Linked DNA regions of Macaca mulatta. The protein of the gene in region 1 purifies or fractionates together with the protein of each later gene. This does not show direct contact. Links are inferred from orthologs where the notes say so. Each region holds a gene or a part of one and is shown in the gene's direction. Other genes may lie near its edges. The genes, in order: CYFIP2 and WASF2.

Region 1 (4,544 bases):
AAATTGCCCTTATTAGGAATAGCTGAGTGATTAAGTATAAATTTGTGGACCCTAGGAAACCACTCCTTATGTCTACATACACTCCACAATGTCTTAAATGCTTTCAAATTGTTTACCCTGTAAGGTATAAAAGGCAACCGTCATTCCCTGTGTTGCAGATATGGTGACCTCTGTGGAGCAGAGTGGTGAAGTAACCTGCTCAGGTGTCTCAAGGTTAGAATTTGGTGCAGCCTGACTTCAGCCTGGTCTGAAGGCCTACCAGGCTGGATCTCAATGAGAATTGTTTCTTTCTCTCTTTCTTTCCTCTCTTTCCTTTCTCTCTTTCTCTTCTTTCTTTTCTTCTCCTCTTTCTCTCTTTCTCGTTCTTTCTCTTCTCTCTCTCTTTTTCTTTCTTTCTTTTTTTTTTTTTTGTGAGACAGTCTCACTCTGTCACCCAGTCTGGAGTGCAGCAGCGGGATCATAGCTCACAGTAGCCTCAATCTCCTAGGCTCAAGCAATCCTCCCACCTCAGCCTCCTGGGTAGCTGGGACCAAAGGTGCATGCCACCACACCCATCTTTTTTTTTTTTTTTTTTTTTTTTTTAATTTTTAGTAGAGATGAAGTTTCGTTGAGTTGCCCAGGATGGTCTCCAATTCCTGAGCTCAAGCGATCCTCTCTCCTCGGCCTACTAAAGTGTTGGTATTACAGGTGTGAGCCACCGGTGGGCAGATAATCGCTTCTTTAAGGAGCCCGTAACGGCAGATAAGCCTTGAAGAGAAAGGTACCTGTCCTTTCAGTGCTTCCTGTCGCCTATTTGTCCGTGAAGCAATTCCAGAATGAAGTTGAGGCAGGCCCCTGTTAAAGAGGTGGCAGCTTCAGGGACTCTTCTCCAGGGAACTGGAAGGGAGGGGAAGAACTTATTCTTGAGCGAAGAAGCCCCATCAGCGTCCAGGTTCAACTGGTGGAAGGCCCCCTCCCCTAGCCCCAGTTGCATCTTCAGTCACTTGACCCTGCTACTTCTCCTCACAGCACTTTGGGCTGTAACTGGACGTTAGATGGGTTAATGTACACCCGTCTCTCCTGGAAGGTGATAAAACTCCACGGGGGCAGGGACCCTGTCTTTTGTACACCAGTGCACACCCAGGTCCTGGCACCGTACATGGAACGGAATAGGTAATCAATAAAGATTGGGTTGATAAATGAGCACTCGGAAATCATGTGGGGCCAAAGAGATCCGAATGCGGCCGAAGCTCTCGTTCTCGGGTTGCTGCAGGTGTGGTTCCTAGTGATGGAGGCCGTGGAAGAAGCCCTCCCTCCCTTTCCCGCCCCCAGGGCAGGAAGCCTGGGTGCTGAGCTGTCCTCTGAGCCCGAGGGGCAGGTCCCGGGCGCGCCGGCGGTACAGCGGGGAGCGCCGAGAGCCCCTCGCCGCAGCCATTTCCTGCCCTTTGTGTGACAGCCGCAGCAGAGAAGGGGCGGGCGCTGGGCGGGGGCGGAGCCGCGGCAGGCGGAGCGGCGGGGTCGGGGCGGGGCCGAGCGCCGCGCAGCGGAGCGGGGCAGAGCATCCTGCGCCCCGGCGCGGGGCCCTGCGGTAGCCTTGGGCCCCTCCCCTGAACTCGCCGCAGAGCCAGGTAAGCGGCGCTCGCAGGCCTTGGGCCGGGCACGGGGACCGGGATGCTGCCGGGGACGGGGTTGAGGCCGTGAGGATGCGCGAAGGGCCGCCCCCTCTCCCGGTCCGCGGGGGGCGCTCGGCGCTGCGCCCGGGCTAGCGCAAGGCCCGGCCTCAGGCCCCACGCGGCCCCTTTCCCCCTCGGGCGCACGGTGCGTCCCGCGGCACCGACCCTCTGCCCGGGAGGCGCGAGCACATCGCGGAGTTCCGGCGCAGCGGCGGGGTAGCCGCAGCAGCAGGTGCGCGGCCTGGGCCGGAGCCGCCAGCCCGGGAGGAGGCGGTGCTAATCTCAGGGACCGGAGACACCTGCGGTGGCCGCGAGCCCGGCGGCGGCGACATCCTCGGGTCCAGGTACTGCAGAGCGCTGACCCCTGCCTCTGCCTCTGTGACCACCGTCACCTCCCCCAGGGCCAGCGAGAGCCGCCTGGGCCCGCCTGGCAGCCGCCTCGGGCACACAGAACGTGTGATGGGTGGGGCGAGGGGCGCAGCGGCGATGTTTGGGGGCGGAGGGCTTTGATGAGAGAGAAGCAGGTCTGACCCGCTTGGAAGCTTTCTGGCCTACACTAGCATCGCTCTCCAGGCTGGCCGCGGGCAGGATGGAAGTGGGGGAAGGGGATGAGTGGGCTGACTCCTGGGGGAAAAGATTGTTTTTTCTTGAGCTCTGAGGAACCAGGAAGAGGCTTACCTGTCTGTTGTGACGTCTGCTTTTCAAGACAACCCTACCCGTCACCCCAAGGAACAGCCCACCTATGTGCAAAAGAAGAGGAGGTGCTCTCTGCTTGGGGATGGGGGATGGTCCACAGAAGTATGGCCCTCTATACCCAGAACCCGGCTGGAAAGGACACTGACAGCCCCCCGGTGCCCCCCCAGCACAGGGAATCTGATTTTGACCTTTGCTTGCCTACTTTCCCCAGCACAGTGGAAACATTCACCAGCCCCGACGAGCCATCAGCTGTCCTTCCAGCTAGGCCAAGAATGGGACAAGGATCCTTTTCTGCTAGTTCCTGGGTGCCTGTGCCCTCAGCATGGGCAGGGAGACGGAGGCAGTCCTGCTGGCAGGAGGGGCAAATCAGGAGAGTGTCGGTTCCTGTGTTCCCATTTCCTGCCTCCTGTCTGTGTCCCAGTTAGGGCAGTGGGTCTCACCTTTCTCTTGGATACAGGCTGTGCCAGCAACCCGGGTCCCTGAGATCTTAGAGGGTAAAAATCAGGTCCGTATCTATGGGCAGGTCTGTGAAGGCCTTGACGGTTGCTTTCTCCACCATTAGACCCTCTCTTTGTGGCCCTCCTGGTGGCCTACCACCTCCACTTCCATACAGTGCCCTGCTCTTCCCCCAGTCTCCAGTGTCAGAAATTGTTTTCAAGAAAGGAGCCAATGATTGTGTTTATCTTGAAGAGCTGAATACAAAAGAAGTTCGCATTTGATGCGGAGCAGGTGCTTTACAAGTCATTTGACCAGAAAATAAACAGAGGATGGAGGCATTTTAATGGGAAACAAAGCTTTAATGGGAAACACTGTAGAAATATTTGCTATCGCTAATGGTGGAATTTCAAACAGTGGGCTGGAAGTGGAGGTGGGGAGCTGGGTAGTTCTTTTGGGAACAGGTCCCTGAAATGACAATATCTAGCAGCTGTCAGCTCTGTATTTGGCAAGGGCAGCTTTGGCCCTGGGGGCAGGAATGCTGTAAGAGTGTGTGTGCATGTGTGTGCATGAGTGCATGTTTGTTTAACTGGTCAGGGGTTACTGTCACCGGAAGGCATTTTTTGAGCACCCAGTGTCCACTTTCAGGATGAGAAACTTGTGTACACAGGGTTCCTCGTTGGCATTGGCTACCCTTTGCCAAGGCAATTATTAGACCTCAAGAAGAGAGTGTTGTTTGCTTACAAAGTCAGTGCCTCTAGATAGTTCTACACACTGAGCCTCTGGCTGGGGGCATTAGCTCTCTGCTCACTAAGCTTCTTTATTATATTTCCTGGCCAGTTCTGACCGGTTCTGTAGGCACCCAAGGCTGCCTTGTTCAGTCCCTGCTGAAAAATGAAAAAGGAAAAACTTGCTTTAGGCATTAGGCCAAGAGTCGAATGTACAACCCAATGGGGTTGGAGAATTTTACTCAAATCAGATGCTGGCCCAGAGAAGGAAGTAGACATGAATTCAAAAACTGGTAAAAGGCCCTGGGAGAACTCTACATGTCCCCTCTGATAAATCATGCCCTCTCTGATGTTCAGTGGGCCTCTGCTGCTGTCATTGACCAGAAAACTGAATGAGATGAATAGGCAACAAGCTAATTAACGGAAAAGCGCTCCTGGAAAACAGTACGGGCCCCAGTCCCTACGTTTAAGGATTGGACTACACTCTCAAGGCGGCTTCTTTGGACCTCTGTTGGCCCCAGGGGTCCACCAAGAGTGTCACAAAATGGCCTTTTGTAGCCTCCAGGTGGCCACCATAACAATGAGTCTATTTCTTTACTGGCAAGTATTAATTATTCACTTGTAATTGACGAAGCCAGACATCAGTCACCTCACTGGAGTCTTTATGAAAGGCCTTTGGTCGTGTCATTCTGAGGAGCAAAGCCATGCCTAGGGTCCAGGGGATGGCCCCTGCATCAGTAGTGAGATGGTGGGAGGAGGGGGGCAGGCTGCTGCCTTCTAGGCAGTGAATGGGGGCGGGGGAGGAACTAGTATATCTTTGGATGCTCTTACTACCCGAGGGGTGCATGAAAGTGCCGAGCAGAATGCTTAGCACATAGTAAGTACTAGCATATTTATATATTTATTGTTATAATGTATTCGTTACATAATCATTAAGAATTTGGCTCATGTATGGAATCAACTCTTGGCTGTTACCAGCCCCTCTCCCTCTAGAGCTTTCCTGAATTTTGCTTTTTTGAGGGAAGTTGGTCTC
Region 2 (3,805 bases), on another chromosome or scaffold:
CCCATTTTCCTGTTGTCCAGGCGGTTTGGAGTTGGGGCTTCATGGTTAGTCTATCTGGACATGCCTGTTGGTGAACCTATAAAGAGACGTGCCAAGGCTCCAGGGCTCCAGGCCTTGGGGATTTTCCACATCAGAGCATCTTTTGATTCAGTTAGTTTCCTCCAACTCTGTTCTCCCTGGGGTCTGTTTTAGATGAGTTCTTTAGACCCCAACAATAGTGGAAAGAGGGGGAAGTGGAGCAGAGCAGGCCAGATTTTGTTAGCTGATGCTTGGTGTATTTGTGCTTGTTTGAAGTTTTGTTGTTGTTCACCCAGAACAAATTCACCCAAGGCCCAGTGCACTGAGGGACAGGTTTTCATGAGGCAAGCCCTAGCACCCTACTTTAATCGTCAGCTCATTTTGTTTGATAAGAGACCTGGCAGAAAGACCACATTTACTACCACATAGCACCCTGCATTCATCCGGAGCTTGATTTTGCAATCCAGTGCCTCCTTGGCCTTCCAGCTTTCCAGAGGCTTGCTGACCTCAAAATCAGGCTGTGTGCCAGTCACGTGTTTGCAGCTCACTAGCCTCTGGGATTTGGCTTCACCCTTTGCCACAGGACTTTGGGATTCAGGTATATCTGCACCTGACACTGGGGAGATAATTTAAAAGAACTGCTGGGCTTGACAAGGCCAACACTGGGCAAGGAGCAGTTTTGATAATCTGGGTTGAATCCTGTTACTACAAACAATTCAGCAGAAATATCTGGGATATATTTGACAATAGAATATTTAGTCTTAAAATAAAATTTCAGTGTAACAGAAAATATGTGGGAAATATACCTATTTTATTTCTCCCTAATAGCTTTTGTATCAAATGCATTTTTGTAGTACCTTTTAAGAAGAAAAAACCCACTCAGGCTCTTTAAATGACAGTTTTTGGCATTCGGTTCATTGACAGGTATCCACCCACCTTGGTGTACCAGAATGGCAGCATTGGCTGTGTTGAAAACGTGGATGCAAGTAGCTATCCGCCACCACCACAGTCAGACTCTGCTTCTTCACCTTCTCCTTCCTTCTCCGAGGACAACTTGCCTCCTCCACCAGCAGAATTCAGGTAAATGGTGGTACCTACTCCATCCACTGTCGGTGGTTATACACTCAAGAACAAAAGGATGGACCAAGAGCAGTGGCTCATGCCTGTAATCCCAGCATTTTGGGAGGCCAAGGTGGGAGGATCTCTTGAGGCCAAAAGTTCAAGACCAGCCTGGTTAACATAGCAAGACCTCATCCCTACTAAAAACCAAAAAAATTAGCCAGGCTTGGTGGCACACGCCTGTGGCCCCATCTACTCAGGAGACTGAGGTAGGAGGATCGCTTGAGCCTGGGAGGTTAAGGCTGCAGTGAGCCATGATCATGCCACTGCACTCCAGCCTGAGTGACAGAGCAAGACCAAAAAAAAAAAAAAGAGTTAAAACCCTAGGTCAGGATCACTAAAATAACTTCAAACAAGACTGTCTAGATCATAGAAATAATTAACACTCTATATATATGTTGCTTCATTCCCATTGGAGTCCTCTTTTGAGATAGGTACTGTTATTCTCATGTTATAATGAGTAAACTGAGGCACAGGGGGAGTCAATGAAATGACCCAAAGGTCACAGCCAGTAAGGGCAGAGCCATGATTGGTCAGTTGGACTCCAGAACCTATATTCTTAACTACTCCTGTTTAGCCTAGACCCAAACAAATAGAAGTTACCACCTTCTTTCTTGTTTTTTCCTTAACTTTATTCATTTATTTATTTATTTATTTATTTATTTTATTTTTTTGAGACGGAGTCTTGCTCTGTCGCCCAGGCTGGAGTGCAGTGACCAGATCTCAGCTCACTGCAAGCTCCGCCTCCCGGGTTTACGCCATTCTCCTGCCTCAGCCTCCCGAGTAGCTGGGACTACAAACGCCCACCACCTTGTCAGGCTAGTTTTTTTTTTTTTTTTTGTATTTTTTTAGTAGAGACAGGGTTTCACTGGGTTAGCCAGGATGGTCTCGATCTCCTGACCTCGTGATCCGCCCGTCTCGGCCTCCCTATTTATTTATTTGAGACAGAGTCTCTGTCACCCAGGCTAGAGTACAGTGGCGTGATCTTGGCTCACTGTAAGCTGCGCCTCCCGAATTCATGCCATTCTCCTGCCTCAGCCTCGCGAGTAGCTGAGACTACAGGCGCCCGCCACCACGCCCAGCTAATTGTTTGTATTTTTAGTAGAGATGGGGTTTCACTGTGTTAGCCAGGATGGTCTCGATTTCCTGACCTCATGATCTGCCCGTCTCGGCCTCCCAGAGGACTGGGATTACAGGCATGAGCCACTCTGCCGCACAGGCCTTTTCCTTAACTTTAACTCATCATGAAATGAAGTGGTACAATCCGCTCTTCAGGAAATAGTTAGCAGATACCTTGCCCAGTTGTCTAGGAACCTAGCATAGAGTCACTTCCTCTCTTAGTGCTGGTTAGTTTCACTGCTATGTTGAATCTCCAGAAACAATGAAACAAAGGGAAAAGGGGGATGAAACTCCAAATTCGTCCATTTTTATATTTGTCAGTGTCCCTGGCAGAGGTGTACAATGGAAGTGTTAGGCAGTAATGACTGAAAAGAGATCTGAGAATTGTTCAGATTGCACTGTTTTCTCCGTTACTTTTGTCCCTTCTAATGCCTGATAAATGAGAGCTTTGAAAGATGCACTTTTCTCCTTGGATACTGCTTAATTAGAGATTGAATATGTTGAGGACCCCTCAGATGGAGACCTAAAGCAGTGCTGCCCTCCTCCTCTCCCCTCGTTCTTCTTGGCCCTAGAAACCATTAATCCCAAATCTCCTGCTTCCCAAATCACTTCCTGCTGGTGGCCCTGTCAGATGCAGCTAAGACTGGAAGGTCTGTGGAAAATTCCAAAATGGCTGCTTTTCTAAGGCGTAGCTGTTAGTGCAGGGCAGATACAAAGGTGGAAAAAGAAAACCTTCTGCTTCACACATGGCCTGAGACCTTGCAGCTGCAGCCAAGCAAATCTGATCCCAGGAGAGGTGTAGCCGTAATCCTCTTTCAGGCCTGGGTCAAGAGTCTGGTGGCACATTCATTTCCCATCTCTGCGGATTCTCAGATTGAGATTCATTCTCTCTCAAGATTTTCCCACATGAGCACTGAAGATGCATTCACCTAAATCTATATCCCACTCAGGTGTGGTCAGCCTGGCTTGGGTTTCCTGCCCTTTCCAATGCTGGTGAATGTTAATAGCCTGAGAAACAGAGCCTAGTGTGTGGGTGGTGTTTGAATTTTTATTCCAGTTCTTTCTTGCATGCACCCTTAACCTGGCTCCAGGATTAAATTAGCAACTGCCATGGACCATCCTTCTTAGAGAAAGGGAGGGAGGGTGCCTTCCCCTTAGAGCTGGAAAGGCAGAGGGGTCTGAGAGATGTCTCAGCTAGCCCTTACCTGATAGAGGAATCTCAAGTCCACTTCTTTCAGGTAGTTTTACTCAATCTGGCTATCCTCCTCTACTGGTGGGAAGCTCATTACCTTACAAGGCTGCTTATTTCATTATTTGTCTGTTCTGACCATCTGTAGGTTTTTCTTTCTGTTTAAGCCAAAGTGAAATGGTATAGTCAACCAAGATAAACCTCGGCTTATAGACAAGGCTAACTGTAGGTAGGTGTTTGCATTCTAAGGGTGATGGTGAGTGTTTTTTCTTTGGCCTTTTAGTTACCCAGTGGACAACCAAAGAGGATCTGGTTTGGCTGGACCCAAAAGATCCAGTGTGGTCAGCCCAAGCCATCCAC

The links.
Region 2: the proteins of CYFIP2 (region 1) and WASF2 purify together in Homo sapiens (co-immunoprecipitation; 3 studies listed by BioGRID and IntAct, with this or other methods). This does not show direct contact. The link is inferred for Macaca mulatta from reciprocal best matches to the Homo sapiens genes CYFIP2 and WASF2.

What each region holds. Positions count from the first base shown.
Region 1 is NC_133411.1:166,135,496-166,140,039, forward strand, and holds the start of CYFIP2 (cytoplasmic FMR1-interacting protein 2), read left to right. Parts: upstream 1-1,493; 5' UTR 1,494-1,607; exon of another isoform or gene 1,608-1,996; intron 1,997-4,544. UniProt on the Homo sapiens protein: Involved in T-cell adhesion and p53/TP53-dependent induction of apoptosis. Does not bind RNA. As component of the WAVE1 complex, required for BDNF-NTRK2 endocytic trafficking and signaling from early endosomes.
Region 2 is NC_133406.1:213,545,002-213,548,806, forward strand, and holds part of WASF2 (actin-binding protein WASF2), read left to right. Parts: intron 1-942; coding exon 943-1,098; intron 1,099-3,728; coding exon 3,729-3,805. UniProt on the Homo sapiens protein: Downstream effector molecule involved in the transmission of signals from tyrosine kinase receptors and small GTPases to the actin cytoskeleton. Promotes formation of actin filaments. Part of the WAVE complex that regulates lamellipodia formation.